3 linked regions of the Callithrix jacchus genome follow. The protein of the gene in region 3 purifies or fractionates together with the protein of the main gene of each other region. This does not show direct contact. Links are inferred from orthologs where the notes say so. Each region holds a gene or a part of one and is shown on either strand. Other genes may lie near its edges.

The links.
Region 1: the proteins of GEMIN2 (region 3) and DDX20 purify together in Homo sapiens (affinity purification with mass spectrometry; 6 studies listed by BioGRID and IntAct, counting the BioPlex papers as one, with this or other methods). This does not show direct contact. The link is inferred for Callithrix jacchus from reciprocal best matches to the Homo sapiens genes GEMIN2 and DDX20.
Region 2: the proteins of GEMIN2 (region 3) and SNRNP70 purify together in Homo sapiens (affinity purification with mass spectrometry; 5 studies listed by BioGRID and IntAct, counting the BioPlex papers as one, with this or other methods). This does not show direct contact. The link is inferred for Callithrix jacchus from reciprocal best matches to the Homo sapiens genes GEMIN2 and SNRNP70.

The regions. Positions count from the first base shown.
Region 1 is NC_133508.1:149,716,677-149,723,243, reverse strand, and holds part of DDX20 (putative ATP-dependent RNA helicase DDX20), read right to left. Parts: intron 4,805-6,567; coding exon 4,636-4,804; intron 4,053-4,635; coding exon 3,938-4,052; intron 3,827-3,937; coding exon 3,684-3,826; intron 3,543-3,683; coding exon 3,404-3,542; intron 3,304-3,403; coding exon 3,245-3,303; intron 2,119-3,244; coding exon 2,036-2,118; intron 1,698-2,035; coding exon 1,592-1,697; intron 1,479-1,591; coding exon 1,377-1,478; intron 1-1,376.
Region 2 is NC_133523.1:42,898,568-42,905,735, reverse strand, and holds the start of SNRNP70 (U1 small nuclear ribonucleoprotein 70 kDa), read right to left. Parts: upstream 4,605-7,168; 5' UTR 4,411-4,604; intron 3,629-4,410; 5' UTR 3,619-3,628; coding exon 3,472-3,618; intron 1-3,471. UniProt on the Homo sapiens protein: Component of the spliceosomal U1 snRNP, which is essential for recognition of the pre-mRNA 5' splice-site and the subsequent assembly of the spliceosome. SNRNP70 binds to the loop I region of U1-snRNA.
Region 3 is NC_133509.1:73,781,633-73,788,199, forward strand, and holds part of GEMIN2 (gem-associated protein 2), read left to right. Parts: intron 1-1,863; coding exon 1,864-1,953; intron 1,954-2,386; coding exon 2,387-2,446; intron 2,447-6,543; coding exon 6,544-6,567. UniProt on the Homo sapiens protein: The SMN complex catalyzes the assembly of small nuclear ribonucleoproteins (snRNPs), the building blocks of the spliceosome, and thereby plays an important role in the splicing of cellular pre-mRNAs.

The sequences.
Region 1 (6,567 bases), on a different chromosome or scaffold from region 3:
TATTTTTATCATTAGATGCTATGATACTGAATCCTACAAGAAGCCTTAACTGCCTTCTAACAATTTTCTATTTTTTCCCCACATCAGACTACCAATAAACTTCACAAAAAGAATTGACAGTTTTAGAACTGATATAGAGCCTAAAGACCATCTACTCTATGATATTTTGCAAATCAGGACGCTAAGCTTAGAGCAATTACAGAGATTTGTAAAAGAACATAAAAGTTATTACTAACCCAGATCTACTAGAATACATATGACTTCCAGATCTATACTTAATCTGGCTTCTTGAAATAAATTAAATATAAAATCAGTAAAATACTCAATTATATTTATTCAATAACTATATATCCCATATTCTACAAGGTCATGTATATGCTATATGTGTATATATCTATATATACATACATCTATATATAAATATACACTATTTATAGTGCACATTTTCTGTATAACATGCACATCAAACATGCCATATTTCCACTCAAGTTTTTTAGAATTTTTTGTTTTTAAGAGATCGTTAATAGTTTTAAACATGCACTGTTTCCAAGATGGCACTTAAGCAGGACAAGTGACTGAACTGAAAAAAAAAAAAAAAATTTCACTCAAAGTTTTCAAAATGGTATTCAAATTAAAGACGCTGTTCCTTCCGCATGGTAACGAAGGAGAATATGGCAAGAATTAACCTCACAGCAACTTAAAAGAGGTAAAATACCCTCCTCATATCAAAGAATAAAATCATATTGCAAAGCCACTAACAAATAAAATAGAGCTAATATAGCTCTCATTTTTTTTCACCCACTCTGCCTTTTTTTTTTTTGAGACAAAGTTTCACTCTTGTTGCCCAGGCTGGAGCGCAATAGCTCAATCTCGGCTCACTGCAACCTCCACCTTCTGGGTTCAAACAGTTCTCCTGCCTCAGCCTACCGAGCAGCTGGGATTACAGGCACCCGCCACCACATCTGGCTAATTTTATTTTTTAGTAGAGACGGGGTTTCACCATGTTGACCAGGCTGGTCTTGAACTCAGGTGATCCACTCGTCTCAGACTCCCAAAGTGCAGGGGTTATAAGCGTGAGCCACTGTGCCCAGCCAGCTCTAATTTTTCATGTGCCAGTGGTTAGCTTGCACTCTTCTCCCTGCCACTTGCTAGCTCTAACACCTTTACTTACCCTCTCTATGCCTAAATATCCTCATCTACAAGAGAATCACACACACTTCACAAGAGTGTGGTGAGAAATGAGTTAATGTACATACAGTACTGGGAACAGTATCCAGCACATCATAAGCACTCTGTGTTTGCTATTATTAATATTTTTATTATGCTTATCATCACTATAATTATTTTGACAGCAAAATGAAACAGATTAAATGTACCTGGTAAAGGTAGAAGGTTGATATTACATTTCTGGGCAATTCTCATCATCATATTTTCTTCCTCTCCCCGGCAACAGTAGGTCACTGTCAGTCCCAATGTACCTAAAGCAGAGAGAATGTTAGGTAGTAAATCATTTTCATAAAAATAACATTCAAAGCCCACCTGTCACATTATAGAGTCCTCCCCTTAAAGAAAGCACTGAAACTTTATTTACCAAAACGGCCAGCTCTGCCAATCCGATGCATATATGTCTCCCAATCCAACGGTACATCCAGATTTACAACCAGATTCACCTTCTCAGCATCAATCCCACGGGAAGTCTTGAATTGAAGAAGACAGTAATTATCTGTTTACACTAACTGTACAGCATGGCTACCAATGCATATTATATTCTTCCAGTATAGCCAAGAGCCAAATTAAACACAGAATATTGAGGAGCAGAGGAAAAGAAAATTCATTTCTGATGTCTAATTTCAAGGACAAAGATCAACCTATTAAAGACATTTTTAAGAAAGCATTTCCCTCAGCACTGGAAAGATAATTATCTTCTGGTATTCTTGTAGATACACTTACATAAAATAATAGATGAAAGCTGTACATCTGATAAAAGAACATATGTCAAGACAGATTAGTCACACAAACTAAACAGGAAATTTACCAAATCTGTGGAAATGAGGACTCTGCAATGAAACTGCTTCAGTTTAGCCATAGCATCAAGACGCTGATTCTGATTCATATTGCCTAAAAGGACCCCAAAAGAAAGTCATATAAAAACAACTAAGCTAATACATATTTATCAAATCCACAAAAAGTAAAAATCATAACGCCCAGTCTTAACACTTTTAACACACCAACCACAGTTAATTCTGTCCTTCTGTGCAAATCTAGGTTACGATCCAAAGTCAGAATCTTTTAAAAGATGGTTTAGGCAATCAACTTGAAATTCAAAATCAATTTTAAATAGTAATCAGGCCATGCATATAAATTCTATTTGCAGTTACATAAGAAGTATAACTAGCAATTCTTAGGAAAATAAAAATGCTTTATATCAGCTGTTTATAATTTGGTGTTAAAGTGTGATCTATAGTTAAAATATTGGTTCATTAGAAAATAGTCTCCCCAGTATCTCATGATAACTAAACAAGCTCAAGCCAACACGTTAAAAACTAAACTAACACAGGCGGGGCACAGTGGCTCACCCCTATAATTCCAGTACTTTGGGAGGATGAGGAGGGTGGATCACAAGGTCAGGAGTTCAAGACCAGCCTGGCCAATATGGTGAAACCCTGTCTCTACTTAAAAAAAAAAAAAAAAAAATTAAAAAAAATAAAAAGTCAAAAACTAAGCTAACACGAAACAAAACTCTAAAAATGATCTCGCTGATCCAAAAATCCTTTGACTCTTTCATTATGCCAGCAGTAATCATGTAACTCTGTGGCAAGAAGTCAATCACTCTGCCTTCCACAAAACCATAAAACAGTCAATTCAGTTAACAATCTCCAGCATCTTAACAGTGATTATTTAAAAAAAATTTTTTTTTCTAAAGAAAAATATTTTTATCTTAACACAGACATACTTGGTTTTATAGAATTAAGTTCTTTGTGGTTATACTCAGAGATATAAAATTACATCTCTCTGAACACTAGTTTTCTAACTTTTTACCATACACCAAATTACTCCTTAAAAATAGAAGGATATTGACATTTCAAATTCCAAAGAAAAATAAGCCTGAAAATTCCTTTACTCTAAAAAATACATGATAATTTTATATTCAGAAGACAACTCATAAAGTGGTATTTCTTCCTTCTGACTTTGGAGGCTTCAAGTCAGTATACTAAATAAAGATTAAAGTAAGAAATGAACTGACCTGAAATGCACTCAGCAGGGAAGCCTTTAGAAGAAAGGATATCAGCCAAATGTTGTGCTCTATGAAATAGAACATAAATAGTTACAAATTTACAAATATTGCCCCATGCCTATCCTTTTATTTCACAAGTTCCCCAGATGGCCTTTTAAGTTACATTACCTGCTATGCAAATTAGAGAAGACTAAAGCTTGATTAAATGGAATTCTGCTGAATAGTTCCTGTAAATACTGAATCTTTTCCTCAAAAACCTTATGTGCCAAAGGGTACGAATTGACAACTTTGTAATACTGCTTCAAACCTACAAAGAAGAGTTGTCAGTTAAAACAAACATACATGCTATAACCTAATAGATATCACGAAACAACAACAGACAACCAGGCAAGGAAAAGCTCCAGAATATCACAAACAAATCATGTAAGTAGCTAAAAGCTGCACATACCTATGAGACTTGGATCACTGGCATTCAGTCTTACAAAAGTGGGATCTCTCATGTACTTTGTCAAAGCATTAGCCAAAAATTCAGGGTAAGTAGCTGATACTGCTAGCATCTGTTTACTGGCAGGCAAGGAAGAATAAATCCAACTGCAAAATAAAAACATGTATCATGTAAATTATTCAGACAATAATCACCGCTCAGGAAAGCTAGATACTTTGGGACGCTGTTTTAATAGTCAAGTTAGCTATTTTTCTTACTTTATTTGCTCCTGGAAGCTTCCTTCTTCTAAAAGCTTATCTGCTTCATCAAGAATAAAGAGGCGTATACTGCCTGGGTTCAAGTAGTCAAGTTCTATGAGTTGCTTAATTCTGCCTAATTAAAAAAAAAAAAAATTGAAATATTTATGATGTACCAAATTTGTGTAAATCTCAGCCAATGTTGTTACTCTACTTATTCACAAGTTGTTCTGCTGAATTTCCTGATTCAACTCTCATTACACATGCTCACGCTAAACCATGAATTAGAAATCTTGAGCTCTGATCTTGCCTAAACTCACTGTTTTCCCCTCACATTTCATCACTAGTAAATAAACACCAATCCTAACAAAAATCCTAAAGCACTGAATGCAAGACTCTGATTCTGAGTGATTCACAACCAAATGCAATAGAGAAGCCAAAGAATAATCCCAGTCCATTGCTTAGAAGGGCCTCCTGAAAGTCAGCGCATTTCTTCTCAGAGGACTATCCCATGTGTTCTGAAACATCCTTAGGAATGGAAATTTCACAAATTCCACTGATAAACCAGTCATGTGCCTATATCTCATCAGTCTAATGCTCTTCGTTTCTAACCAAAATAATTATCACAGTTATCAAAGATTCCCATATATCTTTATTTTTATATTAAAAGTGTTTAGTTCCTTAAAAGCCCTGGTTACCAACAGGCACTGTTATCTTACCAGGAGATCCAACAGCAATATGACACTTTTTAAGTCTGGTTTTGTCTTGTGATAATGGGGTCCCTCCAATAAAGACATGACACTCCAAGCCTTCCATTTTTATTCCAATGGCTGTAATAACAGAATGTATCTGTACAGCAATTTCTCTTGTAGGGGCCAAGATCAAAATCTAAAAAACAAACAAACATAAATTATACCTTTGAGTCAGAGAAATACATGACACACTATATTTCATTTAAATGATCATTTCAATGAGTTTTTATTGATAGGGTAAAATATAGTTATCCCTTGGTATCCACAAGGGATTGGTCCCAGGAAGCCCCCAGATACCAAAACTGCAGATGCTCAAGTCTGTTATATAAGACTGTATATACCTGTATATTACCCATGTATATCCTCCCACATATTTTAAACCATCTCTAGATTACTTATAATACCTAATACAATTTAAATCCTATGTAAATTGTTATACTGTATTTTTGTTTGTATCTTTTTATTCTTTATTTTTTTAATTGTTCCCCCACCCCTCCCCTGAATATTTTTGATCCACAGTTGGCTGAATCAGCTAATACAGAACCTGAATATAGGGAGGGCTGACTGTATTCTATTCATTCATTCATTCAACAAATATTAAGTAAGAACCTACTATGTGCCAGGCAACATAGGGAGGGCTGACTGTATTCCATCCATTCATTCATTCATTTATTCAACAAATACTAAGTTAGAACCTACTGTGTGTTAGGCAACATACTAGTTGCTGGGGAACCAACAATTAACAGTACAGTCTTTGTCTTCATAGTACTTTCATTCTTAAATAATAAGAATACAATAAACAAAAATAAGTAATGACAGGTAATGAAAAGTAACATAAAAAAAATCACACAGGGAAAGAAGGAAGGAGTCATTTTAAATGAGGTAATCATGAGCCCTCCTCTAAGGAGGTAACACTTGAGCAGAGACCTACAAGTATGGCAGAGACCTGCAAGTATGGCATAGAGTAGAGCTGGCTATACAACACCTGGCAAAGCGTTTTCACGAAGAGAAAACAGCAAATGCAAAGGCCATAAGATGGCAGTGTTCTTGGGGTATTTGAGGAAGAAAAAGAAGGCCCACATGGCTATACAGAATTAGTGGGAAAGTAAAGTAAAGATCTAGCTCTAGGGGCTACATCACAAAAGCCTTGAGAGCCATGGTAAAAACTTTGCAATGTAACTACTGGAGAAGGCAAAAGCAATATTTTGTGCTCTTAACTACAGGAATAAAAACTTTATTAAAATAAAATACAAGACTGGGAGAAAACATGCCAAACTGTTAATAGCGGTTTCTCTCTAGGTAGTGAAATGATAGATTTTGTTTTCTGGTACTTCCTAATTTTTCTGAATTTTCCCAATTTTCAAAAATGAATATGTATTACTTTGATACACACAAAATATTAAAACATGAATTTTCCGGGCATAGTGGCTCACATCTGTGATCCCAGCACTTTGGGAGGCTGAGGCGGGTGGATATCCTGAGTCAGGAGTTTGAAACCAGCCTGGCCAACATGAAAAAACTCCATCTCTACTAAAAATACAAAAAAAATTAGCTGGGTGTGTGGTGTGCACACCTGTAATCCCAGCTACTCGGGAGGCTGAGGCAGGAAAATCACTTGAACCTGGGAGGCGGAGATTGCAGTGAGCCAAGACTGTGCCATTGCACTCCAACCTAAGCAACAGAATGAGACTTCATCTCAAAAAAAAAAAAATGAATTTATAAAACTTTTCCAGGATTTTAGCATTTTATCTGCTGCCAAATTGTCAGAAGCCAAAATCTCAAATACAGCCTAGTCTACAATTAGACTAGCTCAGGTTCTTGCAAAGTAGGAGGATTTCCAATGTGCAACATCACCTAGGATTTGGCAGATATAAGACAGACTCAACAAGCTTCTCGGGG
Region 2 (7,168 bases), on a different chromosome or scaffold from region 3:
ACCGCAACCTCCGCCTCCTGGGTTCAGGCAATTCTCCTGCCTCAGCCTCCTGAGTAGCTGGGATTACAGGCACACGCCACCATGCCCAGCTAATTTTTTGTATTTTTAGTAGAGATGGCGTTTCACCATGTTGACCAGAATGGTCTCAATCTCTCGACCTCGTGATCCACCCGCCTCGGCCTCCCAAAGTGCTGGGATTACAGCCTTGAGCCACCGCGCCCCGCCAGGTCTTCTATTTTTTGATGCAAAGTCTTGCTATGTGACCCAGGGTGGAGTACAATGGCGCGACCTCGGCTCACTGCAACCTCCACCTCCCAGGTTCAAGCGATTCTACGTCCTGCTTTCCCCTCTGTGCTGTCTCTACAAGGAACCCACTAGCAATCGTGTGTTTCTAAAAGGAACCCAGGAACTGACTAGAATCGTTCAAGTGATTCTCCTGCCTCAGCCTCCTGAGTACCTGGGATTACAGGTAAACGACACTATGCTGGCTAATTTTTGTACTTTTAGTAGAGAGGAGGTTTCACCATATTGGCCAGGTTGGTCTAGAACTTCTGACTGTAAGTCTTTCTTTAAAAAGTAATTCTAGGCCGGGCGCAGTGGCTCACGCCTATAATCCCAGCACTTTGGGAAGCCAAGGCAGGTCATGAGGTCAAGAGATGGAGAACATCCTGGTCAACAAGGTGAAACACCGTCTCTACTAAAAATACAAAAATTAGTTGGGCATGGTGGTGCACGCCTGTAGTCCCAGTTACTCGGGAGGCTGAGGCAGGAGAATTGCTTGAACCCAGGAGGCGGAGGTTGCGGTGAGCCGAGATCGTGCCATTGCACTCCAGCCTGGGTAACAAGAGCGAAACTCCGTCGCAAAAAAAAAAAAAAGTAATTCTATCCTATTTATCAAAAGCATCAATCTGCAACAGATTGGAAACTGCCCTTCACCAATGACAGTTTGAAAAGCACTGGCACAGGTGACACCTAGCTTAAAAATACAGTGCTGAAGGTCCCTGTCTTCCATATTCAGGAAACACGCTGCTTCTCACAGCTCCAAGCATCACTCACATTGAACAAAGTGCCAGAAGATGTGATGGGAGCGGAGTTACGGGAGGGCCCTGTTTATGAGAGTCAGTTAAGAGGACCAGGCCTGAAGCAACATGAGCTGACAGGACAGGACTCCGAAGCCCACACTGCACACCCTCTGAGTGCCAGGGCAGCACTTAAAGGTGTCACCAACCATGCATTAAATAGTAACTGGTTGCTGGACGTGGTGGCTCACGCCTGTAATCCCAGCAGTTTGGAAGGTCAAGGCTGGTGGATCACTGGAGGTCAGGGGTTCGAAACCAGCCTGGCCAACATGGCGAACCCCTATCTCTACTAACAATACAAAATTGGCCAGGCATGGTGGCACATGCCTGTAATCCCAGCTACTGGAAAGGCTGAGGCAGAACTGCTTGAACTGAAGGCTGCAGTGAGCTGAAATCACACCACTGCACTCCAGCCTGCGCAACAAAAGTGAAACTCAGTCTCATAAATAGTAACTGGCACATCATCATCAGAGGGCATCTACCACCTGCCTGTGCCCATTAAATTAAGTTAATTGGCTAGTAACATTTCTTAAGTGCTGGTTCATCCAGGGTGGCAAATCCCAATGAAGATCCACCTTCCTATTATCTGTGAACTTGTTTTTTTTTTTTGAGATGGAGTCTCACTCTGTCGACCAGGCTGGACTGCAATAGTGTGATCTCGGCTCACTGCAACCTTCACCTTCCAAGTTCAAGCGATTCTCTTGCCTCAGCCTCCCAAGTAGCTGGGACTGCGGACACGTGCCACCACGCCCAGGTAGTTTTGGTATTTTTAGTAGAAACAGAGTTTCACTACATTGGCCAGGCTGGTCTCCAACTCCTGACTTCGTGATCTGCCTGCCTCAGCCTCCCAAAGTGCTGAGATTACAAGTGTGAGCCACCACGCCCGTCCTATCTAAGAAGTTCTGCTCTGCAACTCCCTCCACCTCCAGCTGCCCATTCCTACCCAATGCGAGAATGTTCTTGTAACTTCTGGCTGTGTGCCAGCTTTCCTCAGGTGTCCTCAGATACGCCTACAAGATGACCATTGTCATCCCAATTTCACAAATAAAAACAGAGAGGTCCAGGAGCCTAAGTCATTCATTCCTGAAGTCATTTACCCTGAAGGTGCAGAACTAAGATCCTGGTCTGGGGTTTTAAGCCCTCCAACGCTCGGTGCTAGCCCTTTATGAACACCATCTTATTAACAATAAAAGTAGTAAACAGAGTAGCAAAGGCCGACATAGGCTGCCTGCTTGATGCCAAGCCCCCTGACATACACATTGCCATTTAATTCTCCACCAACAGTATGAGGGGTGCTACCACTATCCCCTTGCTAAAGATAAAGAAACCAATGCATTAAGATACACATTTGCCCAAACTCACAGAGCTATTAAATGGTGCAAGCCAAGTGTGAATCCTCAACCACTACTCAACTGAACTTTCTCACAGAAATTCTACAAAAGGTATACCATCAACCCCACTTTTTTTTTGAAATGGGAGCCTCACTCTGTTGCCCAGGCTGGAGTACAGTGGGACAATCTCGACTCACTGCAATGACTGCCTCCCGGGTTCAAGTGATTCTTCTGCCTCGGCCTCCCAAGTAGTTGGGACTAGCAAGCACCATCACGCCCGGTTAAGTTTTGTATTTTTAGTTGAGATGGGATTTCACCATATTGACCAGGCTAGTCTTGAACTTCTGACCTCAGGTGATCCACCTGCCTCAGCCTTCCAAAGTGCTGGGATTACAGGTGTGAGCCACTGAGCCCAGCCTCACTTTGTCTGTTTGTTCGGAGACAGTACTTTCTATTGCCCAGGTTGGAGTGCAACGGTTCCATCTGGGCTCACTGCAACCTCTGCCCTTCGGGTTCAAGTGATTCTCCTGCCTCAGTCTCCCGAGTAGCTGGGATTACAGGTACCCACCACCATGCCCAGCTAATTTTCCTATTTTTAGTAGAGACAGGATTTCATCATGTTGGCCAGGTTGGTCTTGAACTCCTGACCTCAGGTGATCCACCCGCCTCAGCCTCCCAAAGTACTGGAAATTACAAGCATAAGCTACCGCACCTGGCCACAAGTCCACTTTAAAAAAAAAAAAAAAAAAATTTTTTTTAAGAGATGAGGTCCTGTTCTGTCACCGAGGCCGGAGTATAGTGGCGCAATCACAAAGCAATCCAGCCTCCAACTCCTGGGCTCAAGCAATCCTCCCACCTCAGCCTCCTGAGTAGCTGGAACTACAGGTGCACTCGACCACACCTGGCTCCAACCCCATTTAAAACAGGGAAACTGAGGATCACAAAGATGAAGCCAGTCGCTTAAATCACACAGCTAGCAAATCCAGTCAGAGGCTGGACTCCCAGATCCAATCCTTGCACCCCACAACCCAAACCATTCCTGGCCTGCTCAGTGAACTCACCTCAAACTCTCGAATGTACGGCGCAATGCCACAGTAAGGTTGATTGTGGTGTTTTTCATGTGGCAGTTTCTCCAGGGGTGGCAGGTATGGGATAGGGTCACGGGGGGCAAAAAGGGCCAGAAGGTTGGGCGGCAGGAACTGGGTCATCTTGCCAAGTCTGAGAGCAGAAGCAGGACAGCCTTAGGTTAGATTGGGTCTGCACAGAGAAAGCCCCTATTTGTCCCCTGACTCTCAAAAAAAAAAAAAAAAAGAAAAAGAGAGAAAACAGGAGTAAAGTCTCGGAATTCGAAGAGGCTCTGAAAGGGCAGAGAACCGTCCTACGCTAGAAGAGAAAAGGGCATCTCTTGGTGGGGGTGGAGGTGAAAATCAGGCCCGTAAAGGAAACAAAAAACAAAGGCTGGAAAAGGGTTCCTGAGCAGTGAGGTCTCAGAGTCCTGACCCACGAGCTGTGTGGCGGAGAGCTTCCCTGGGGATTTCTGGGGGAATCAAGGACCCGAGAAAGGAGGCACAGAGCAGTTGTGGCTGGCTGCTCGTCTCGTATCTTGGAGGACAAATTATGAGATGCGGTTTGCAGAGGCCTGGAGGTCTGAAGTCTCCGGGCAAAGAGAAACATAAGCAGCGAAGCCCCAAAGCCAAGCGCCTGTGGGTAACAGACCTGGGCGCCCCCAAGACGAAAGGAATTATGGGTAAAGGTCCAGGACAACATGGAAAGACGAAAAAGAAAAAAGGCCATACACCGCAAGGGCCTGTGGGTAGGGGACCTAGGACGCTACGGGAAGCAGGCGTGGGTGCGCAGAGGGCTCGGGTTTCGGGAAAGGGATGCAGAAGGGACCTGCAGCAGGGGACGCGGCAAAGGGGCCTGGCTGCAGGTAAAAGTACCGGGGCCCACCGCAGGGGCTTGTGGGTAGCGGCCCAGCACCCCGGACCACTCGGCCACACTCACTCGCCGCGCGGCGCCCTCCTGGGTCTGGCGTCGGTCCGGAGGCTCGGGGCGGCTGCGGCGGCCCCTCAGCAACAAGAACTTCCGCTTTGGCTTCCACTCCGACGGCGTCCGCGTCTGCCTGACTCCCTTGCCCGCGCAGCGAGCGCACAAGGCCGCTGCTCAACAACCCGCGCGGCCTCAGCTACCGACTGGAGCAGGGGGTGGGTCTCGACCTGAAATCCCTCCGCCGTCAGCACTGCGCATGCGCCGCGAGAGGCCAAGACCTACCCACACACCAGGCCCAGGAGCCGTCGCTGGCAAAGCGCACGCGCGAGGTCACTACCCCGCCTTCGGGCACCTTGAGTACCTCAGTCTCCTGGAGCTGGCGTCTGCGCTGCGCGCGCGCGCTCAGCCCCAAGCCGCCCCTCCACCTGCCGCTTTCCGCTCCGAACCGCCTATGTCCACGAGACTCTCTCTGACGCTCCGCCCCTTTCCCGATCACACTTCCCTGATTTTTTTCGCGCATGCGTGTTGTGTAGAGTACTGTAACGTACCTCTCCGCCGCCTAGCAAAGAGTCCCTAAGTGAATAGCCTGATTGCGTTGATGTCTAATCTATTCAATCAACTGCTCATCGAGCATCTCGTATGTGCTAGGCACTGTCTGGGCTTTGGGGGCTACAGCACGTGACTAAAGCAAAGTCTTCTCCTGCTTGGGCTTACATTGTACTGAGGGAGACAATAAAAGCGCTTGACTGAATAAAGATAGTTTAAGGGCTGGGCCCGGTGGCTCACTCCTGTAATCCCATCACTTGGGAGGCCGAGGCAGGCGGATCACCCGAGATCAATTGTTCGAGACCAGCATGGCCAACATGGTGAAACCCCGTCTCTACAAAAAAATACAAAAATTGGCCGGGCATGGTGGTGTGAGCCTGTAACCTCAGCTACTCTGGAGGCTGAGGCAGAAGAATCGCTTGAACCCAGGAGCCAGAGGTTGCCCTGAGCAGAGATCACCGCCATTGCACTCCAGCCTGGGTGACAAGAGCGACACTCTATCTTAAAATAATAATAATAATTTGAGATGGTGACCAGCATAATAAAGAAGGACAGAGCAGAGTAAAGGGATGGGAAGTGAGAGTGAGGCCATTTTATAAAGGGTGATAACGGAAGGCTCCTCTGAAGTGTCATTTGAACAAAGGCCAGATAGAAGCAAGATCGGGGGACGGGGAGGGTTAACAGCAGGCGCAAAGGTCCTGAACTGGGACCAGATGGCAGGAATCTCAGGTTGTTGGCCGTGAGATCAGAGAGCTGGCATTTATTTTATTTAAGGCCCTGTTGTTAAGTATTGCATTTTAAGTTTTGTGGATGGATTCAATAGCCTGTTTAATAACTATAGAAATTATTGCAAAATTCAAATGACTAATTTTCAAGAAAAAGGCCAGCAACTCAGGAGGCTGAGGCAGGAGAATCGCTTTAACCTAGGAGGCAGAGATTGCAGTGAGCTGAGATCGTGCCATTTCACTCCAGTCTGGGCAACAAATTGAGACTCACTTTCCAAAAAAAAAAAAAAAAAAAAAATGCCAAGTGCATTGGCTCATGCCTGTAATCCTAACACTTTGAGAGGCTGAGGTGGGTGGATCATGAGGTAAGGAGTTCAAGACCAGGCTGACCAACATGGTGAAACCCTGTCTCTACTAAAAAATACAAAAATTAGCTGGGCATGGTGGCTCCTACCTGTAATCCCAGCTACTTGGGAGGCTGAGGTAGGAGAATTGCTTGAACCAGGACCCAGGAGACGGAGGTTGCAGTGAGTTAAGATCACACCACTGCACTCCAGCCTGGGCTACAGAGTGAGACTCTATCTCAAAACAAATGCTCTTTCTTCTCTTCCACGTTGCCAGTTTGTGATTTTTCCAAACTTTTCTGCTGTGCTGCTTCCTATTTATGTATGTATTTATTTTCCAGAGACAGGGTTTCACTGTGTCACCCAGGCTGGTGTGCAGTGGCTATTCGCTGTGTCACCCAGGCGGTGTACAGTGGCTATTCACTGCCATGATCCCACTCACGTCGATCAGGAGTTTTGACCCGCTCCATTTCCAGCCTTAGGCTAGTTCACCCCTTGCCAGGCAACCTGGTAGTCTCCCGCTCCTGGGAGGTTACCATATGGAAGCCAAACTTAGTACGGACACCCAGTTGCTGGGGGGGACGGCAATGGAAGGAGGGCTCACAGAGTGCCTCTGTAAAATAGCTGCAAACGGTGGGAACAGTAAAAAGCAGCAAACTGCCCGGCCTCTGGGGAGGCAGACGTCCCCAAGCCTTCTTGTTCCACGTGCAGAGTGACCTTGACTCTGTAACAGTACATAACACGCTCAAGGGCTTTAAACCCTTTTGCAGCATTACAAAGTAACCAGACTTGTAGGCCCACCAGCTACGTTGTCTATTGGTAAGCATACGTTTTTAGCGCTTGAGAAACTCACATGAACTGCCACTGTTAACAGTTATGTGTTTCATGCACAGCCTCCCTCCACCGACTCACCCTGCCGCCTGCACTACAGATAATAGCGATCGTGTTCAGTATATACTGGGCCTTCACTGCCTCCAGTAAAGAAGTGATCATCCCCTGGTCCTGCTTTCTCTCCTAATCTATCTTTTTCTAATTCCTTTGTCACCACTGAACTCAGGGTACCCATGGATGGGTGTGGGGCTGGCTCCCTACACCAGTCAGCATAATACAGTACAGCCCAGAACTCCTGTGCTCAAACAATCCTCCCACCTCAG
Region 3 (6,567 bases):
AACTCAGATATCTTACACTTTTACAGCTACTTGCACACTGTGGACATTTTCGTTTATTTATTTATCCAGCACATTTTTAATTAAGGGACTACGTTGTGCCAGGCACTGGGAATGTAACAGAGGATAAGATAAAAAAGGATCCTACCCTTGTAGACAGAGAGTAAACAGGCAAACAAATAATTACATGTTGTGACTATTGCTATGAAGAAAATAAGCATATGTAATAATCAATAAATGACAGAACTACTGTAGATAGAGGAATCACAGAAGGTCTTTCTTCCCTCCCCCCCCCCTTTTTTTTTGAGTCTTGCTTTTTCGCCCAGGCTGGAATGCAGTGGTGTGATCTTGGCTCACTGCAACCTCCACCTCCCGGGTTCAAGAGAGTCTCCTGCCTCAGCCTCCTGAGTAGCTGGGATTACAGGTGTGTGCTACCACACCTAGCTAATTTTTGTATTTTTAGTGGAGATGGGGTTTTACCATGTTGGCCAGGCTGGTCTTGAACTCCTGACCTCAAGTGATCTGCCTGCTTCAGCCTCCTAACGTGTTGGGATTACAGGCGTGAGCCACCACGCCTGGCCAGCGAAGGTCTCTCTAAGGAGGTGCTATTTAACCTAAGCTTAAAGGAGGTGGCATTTTAAATTGTTGATAGTAATTTCCTTTTCATGTTGAAAGTAATTTCTCTATCTGATATTTATAATCAGAAAATTTTAATTCAGACACTATAATGTTTCCTGTAATTCCTCTTCAGGATTTTTTAGTTGATTGATTTATTTTTTTGAGACAGAGTCTTGCTCTGTCACCCAGGCTGAAGTACAGTGGCACGGTCTCGGCTCATTAGTTGATAGACATTTAATGGAACAGAATGTCTTATATACCTAATTTGATAGATGGATGGATTGATTGAAACGGTATGTCTCTCTTTTTGTTTCTGTTTGATATTCTAGAAAGGCAGGTAGGACTAGATCATATCCTCTGGGCTAACGTCATTTAGATTTCATAGAAACTCCAAGTATAGGGCCGGGCGCGGTGGCTCAAGCATGTAATCCCAGCACTTTGGGAGGCCGAGGCGGGTGGATCACGAGGTCAAGAGATTGAGACCATCCTGGTCAACATGGTGAAACCCCGCCTCTACTAAAAATATAAAAAATTAGCTGGGCATGGTGGTGCGTGCCTGTAATCCCAGCTACTCAGGAGGCTGAGGCAGGAGAATTGCCTGAACCCAGGAGGTGGAGGGTGCGGTGAGCCGAGATCGTGCCATTGCACTCCAGCCTGGGTAACAAGAGTGAAACTCTGTCTCAAAAAAAAAGAAACTCCAAGTATAAGCCTTTCCAGATTTCTCTTATTAAATTGACTAAGGCTCTTTCCCTAATGTTTTTAACTGGGATATAAATAAATAGAAAAGTGAAATGTCTACTTTTTTACATCTGTAAGAAATATTTTCTTTCTTTCTTTTTTTTTTTTTTTTGCAACGGAATTTTGCTCTTGTTGCCCAGGCTGCGTGAAGTGGCATGATCTCAGTTCACTGCAGCCTCCACCTGCTGGGTTCAAACAATTCTCCTGCCTCAGCCTCCCTAGTAGCTGGGATTATAGGCACCCGCCACTATACCAGCTAACTTTTTGTAGAGACGGGGTTTCACTATGTTGGCCAGACTAGTCTCAAACTCCTGACCTCAGGCGATCCACTTGCCTCAGCCTCCCAAAGTGATGGAATACAGGCATCAGCCACTGCACCCGGCTGTATTTTATTTTTCTTGTCTAACCTTTATTATACACTTTATCTTGGTTTTACTTTTGCTTTGCAAAAGCATGAGATTCTAGTTTTGACACTAATATTAATCCTAGTATTTGTGACCTGATCTCTAGCTTTCAGGATGCCAACCCGCCCCTGAAGGTTATTCACCAACACTTCAGTGGCAACAGCAACAAGTGGCACAGTTTTCAACTGTTCGACAGGTAAAGTGTCATATTTAATCTAATTAAGCCCCTGTTGGATTTATTTCTATTCCTAGACTGTAGATAGAAAAATAAAATTTATGATCCTAAAGTATACAGAATATTCATGAATTACCAAGTTATTATAATTGTTAGACATAATACAGTTTGAAACATTGTATAAGTTTTATTTATTTTGTTTATTTCAATAGTTTTGGGGAACAGGTGAGTTTTGGTTACATGGTTGAGTTCTTTTGTAGTGATTTCTGAGCTTTTGGTGCACTCATCACCCAAGCAGTGTACTCTTTACCCAATAAGTAGACTTTTATACTTCACCCCCTCCCACCCTTCCCATTTTCCAAGTTTTAGATGGTTAAAATTTTGTGCAGAAACTGATTTCTTTTCAGTTACCCATTTTTTGAAGAGTACTAACGTATAACTTTTCTTCCTTTAGAATGTGAACAAACATAGAAGTCACTGGAAATCACAACAGTTGGATAGTAATGTGACCATGGTATGTAAGTTTCTCAGTTTTAAGTTGTACAATATATACTTGATTGAAAGAAACTACATTTACTTGCAGTCTTTAAAGATTCACTTCCTATTCAGTGTTATTTTCATTCTTTTCAATATACCATTAATAGTAGCAATTCCATTACATTAGTAGCCTGAAAAGTATAGATTTTCATGACAGTTTTTTTTTTTTTTGAGACAGGGTCTTGCTGTATCTCCCAGGGTGAAGTGCAGTTGCACAATCACAGCTTGCTGCAGCCTCAACCTCCTGGGCTCAAGTGATCCTCCCACCTCAGCCTCCCAAGTAGCGTAAACTAAAGGCACATACCACCATGCCCATCTAATTTTTAAAATATTTTGTAGAGGCGGGGTCTCCCTTTATTATCCAGGCTGGTCTCTTACTCCTGGGCTCAAGAGATCCTCCTGCCTTAGCCTCCCAGAGTGCTAGATTACAAGCATCAGCTACTGTACCCAGCCTTTCATGTCAATTTTAATTCACAATATCTTGGGGGACTTTGGATAGGTGACTGTTAAGCTTCTACAAGTTTTTAAGGATTCTTCTAGGCATTTACTTTCTAGGAAATTAATACATTTTTAATATTTATAAAAAGATTTAATAAAGACTTAATGGATTTTCTTGATGAGGTGATAGTACCATGCAGTAAACCCACACATTTACAGAACTTGTAAATGATTCTGCTTCTACTTAATGTGATGAGTCTGCATCACAATTCCAGTGACATATAAGTAAAGCCTGTCTTGTATACTGTCATGCATATGTCCTACATTTTATCTTTAAATATAATTTTAAGCTCTTCACTAGATATATCAGGACTACCAAATGAAAAAAGGAGTTGGAAAGATGATACATTGTCTCAGGACAGTAGTTTTTAACCTTTTAGGGGATTTCGTATTTTTTTCTGAGGACCTAATGAAAGCTCTTTATCTTCAGAGGGGAAAAAATGCACCTATGCACAAAATTTTAGTTTCAGGTAGTTCATAGATTTCAGATTTTAGAAGCTTCCTGTAGACAGTGCTTCTTGATATCTTTTACGGGGTGATGCATTAGAATAAATGACTGCTTGCATATTCTTCCTGAAACCAGCCGAAAGCTGAGAGATTCAGTATATGGCATCTCTCTATTCTTCTGCATACCATTTGGAAGCTCTGCTCCAGGAAAAGTGTTAAGGGAAGTAACTTATCACTTGCCAAAGGACATTTAACTCATAAAAGGTATAGCTAGTCCTTCTATCAAAGAAGCATGTGCACATACACACACAAAAAGTATGCTTAGGGTTCAAACTCAAGGCTGTCTCTAAAGCCTTTGTGCCTTTGACTATGTAATGGTGCCTTCCTAGTCAGAAGGGTATATGTATGTAGTAGGGACTGGGACAGGTAGGTAAATATATTTTTTTCTTACTCAGTGGAACGGCTTTTGGGTGCATGCCCACTAATTAAAAAAGAAGCCACGGCCAGGCAAGGTGGCTCACACCTGTAATCCCAGCACTTTGAGAGGCTGAGGCAGGAGGATCCGGAGGTCAAGAGATTGAGACCATCCTGGCCAATATAGTGAAATCTTGTCTCTACTAAAAGTTCAAAAATTAGCCAGGCATGATGGCGCACACCTGTAGTCCCAGCTACTCGGGAGGCTGAGGCAACAGAATCACTTGAACCCGGGAGGCAGAGGTTGCAGTGAGCTGAGATCATGCACTCCAGCCTGGTGACAGAGCAAGACTCTGACTCAAAAAAAAAAAAAAAGCCACGTCAGTAATATGACTTGATAAAATTTTGTCAAAAATGGAAATTACCTAACATAATTGATTCAATAAACTATGGCCCATCAGAACAGTGGAATATTATGTAGCAATTATAGATGTTTATCATGGCAAATGTAAACATCATACACATAATAAAATGAAAATATTTTAAAGTACACTCTGGGCCAGGCACGATGGCTCATGCCTGTAATCCCAGCACTTGGGGAGGCTAAAGCAGGCCCATCACCTGTACTCAGGAGTTTAAGACCAGCCTAGACAACATGGCAAAACCCCATTTCTATTTAAATTATTTAAAAAATAAATAAAGTACACTCTGATGGAAACTGTGTGAAAACATAAATATTAATTGATCCAATAATTTATTAAGCAGGTATTATATTTAATAATCAGGATATTTAGTACTAACTGAAACAGAAACAACTTCTGACCTAATGGAATGATAGGAAAAGATAGATACTTTGTTCCAAGACAATAGGGTTTAACTTTTTAGTGTCTCATGATCATCCTGAGGTTTTGTTTTATTTTATTTTATTTTGAGATGGGGTTTCACTCTTATTGCCCCGACTGGAGTGCAATGGCATGATCTCGGCTCATTGTAACCTCTGCCTCCCAGGTTCAAGCAATCAGCCTCAGCCTCCCGAATAGCTGGAATTAGACGCGCCCACCACTGTACCTGGCTAATTTTGTATTTTTAGTAGAGATGAGGTGTCACCATATTGGCCAGGCTGGTCTCGAACTCCTGACCTCAGGTGATCCATGCTGAGGATTTAATGAAAGCTATTTATTCCCGGGGAGGGGGGAATGTACCAATGCAGAGTAATGTGCAAGGTGATAGGTACAAATAAAAGTTGTTTTGTTAAGGAGATTATATTGAGCTGAATGCTTCTCCCAACTAGTCCTGCTTTTTCTGTCTGGCAGCAGAGAGTAGATCTGTTTCTTCTTGGATTGGACAGCCCTTCAAACATGTCAAATATGTAATCATGTCTCTGTATATGAGATAAACATCCTTCATTCCATTAAGCATTCTTGGTGCATTTTTTCCCCCGTACTTGTTTCTGTCTTTATCATTCTCTTTTGGACACACCCTTATCTGTCAGTGTCCATTAGTCTGGTCCAAACTAAACACATCTTAGCTGGGCACAGTGGCTCACACTTGTATCCCAGCACTTTGGGAAGCCAAAGCAGAAGAATTGCTTGAGGCCAGGAGTTTGAGACCAGCCTGGTCAACATAGTTGAGACAACTATCTCTGCAAAAAAATTTAAAAATTAGCCAGGCGTGGTGGTACGTGCCTGTAATCTCAGCTACCCAAGAGGCTGAGGTGGCAAAATTGCTTGAGCTTGGGAGATTCAGGCTGCCATGAACTGTAATCATACCTTTGCACTCCAACCTAGGTGACAGAGGAAGACCCTGACTCAAAAAATATAATAATAAAATAAGAAAAAACAACATGTCCCACATATTGTATAGCCACTTAGGCAATATGTTTGCCAGGGCTGCCGTAACAGACTAGGTGGCTTAAACAACAGAAATTTATTTTCTCACAGTCTTGAAGGTTGAAAGTCCAAGAACAAGGTGGCAGCAAGTTTGGTCTCTTCTTCTTCTTCTTTTTTTTTTTTTTTTTTTGACAGAGTTTCACTTTTGTTGCCGAGGCTGGAGTGCAATGACATGATCTCAGCTGACTTCAGCCTCCACCTCCTGGGTTAAAGCGATTCTCTTGCCCCAGCCTCCGAGTAGCTGGGATTACAGGTGCGCGCCACCATGCTCAGCTCATTTTTTTTTGTAATTTTAGTACCAAAAAAAGGTAGGGTTTCACCATGTTGGCCAGGCTAGTCTCAAACTCCTGACCTCAGGTGATCTGCCCACGTTAGCTTCCCAAAGTATTGGGATTACAGGCATGAACCACCATGCCCAACCTAAGGTTGGTATCTTCTAAGGCTTTTTCCATGGCTTGCATATGGCCACCTTCTCCTCTTTTCTGTGTGTGTGAGAGTCCCTGGTTCTCTCTTTGTGAGTTCACATTTCCTCTTACAAGGACACTAGTAAGATTGGATTAGGGCTGACCCTAATGGTCTCAATTTAAATTAATCACTTATTTAAAAGCTCTGTCTCCAAATACGGTCACATACTGAGGTACTGGAGGTTAGGGTTTTAAAACCCTACAAATTTTGGGGACAGAGATTCTCCCCGTAACTGGCACCCTATCTTTGGGTTGAAGTAATGGGAATATGGGAGACTCTAACTTATTTTGTTTACTGTTCTGTGTAAAAATTAATACACAGGAATAAATCTGTTTTTGTTTTTATCTTTTTTTTCTTTCAGCCAAAATCTGAAGATGAAGAAGGC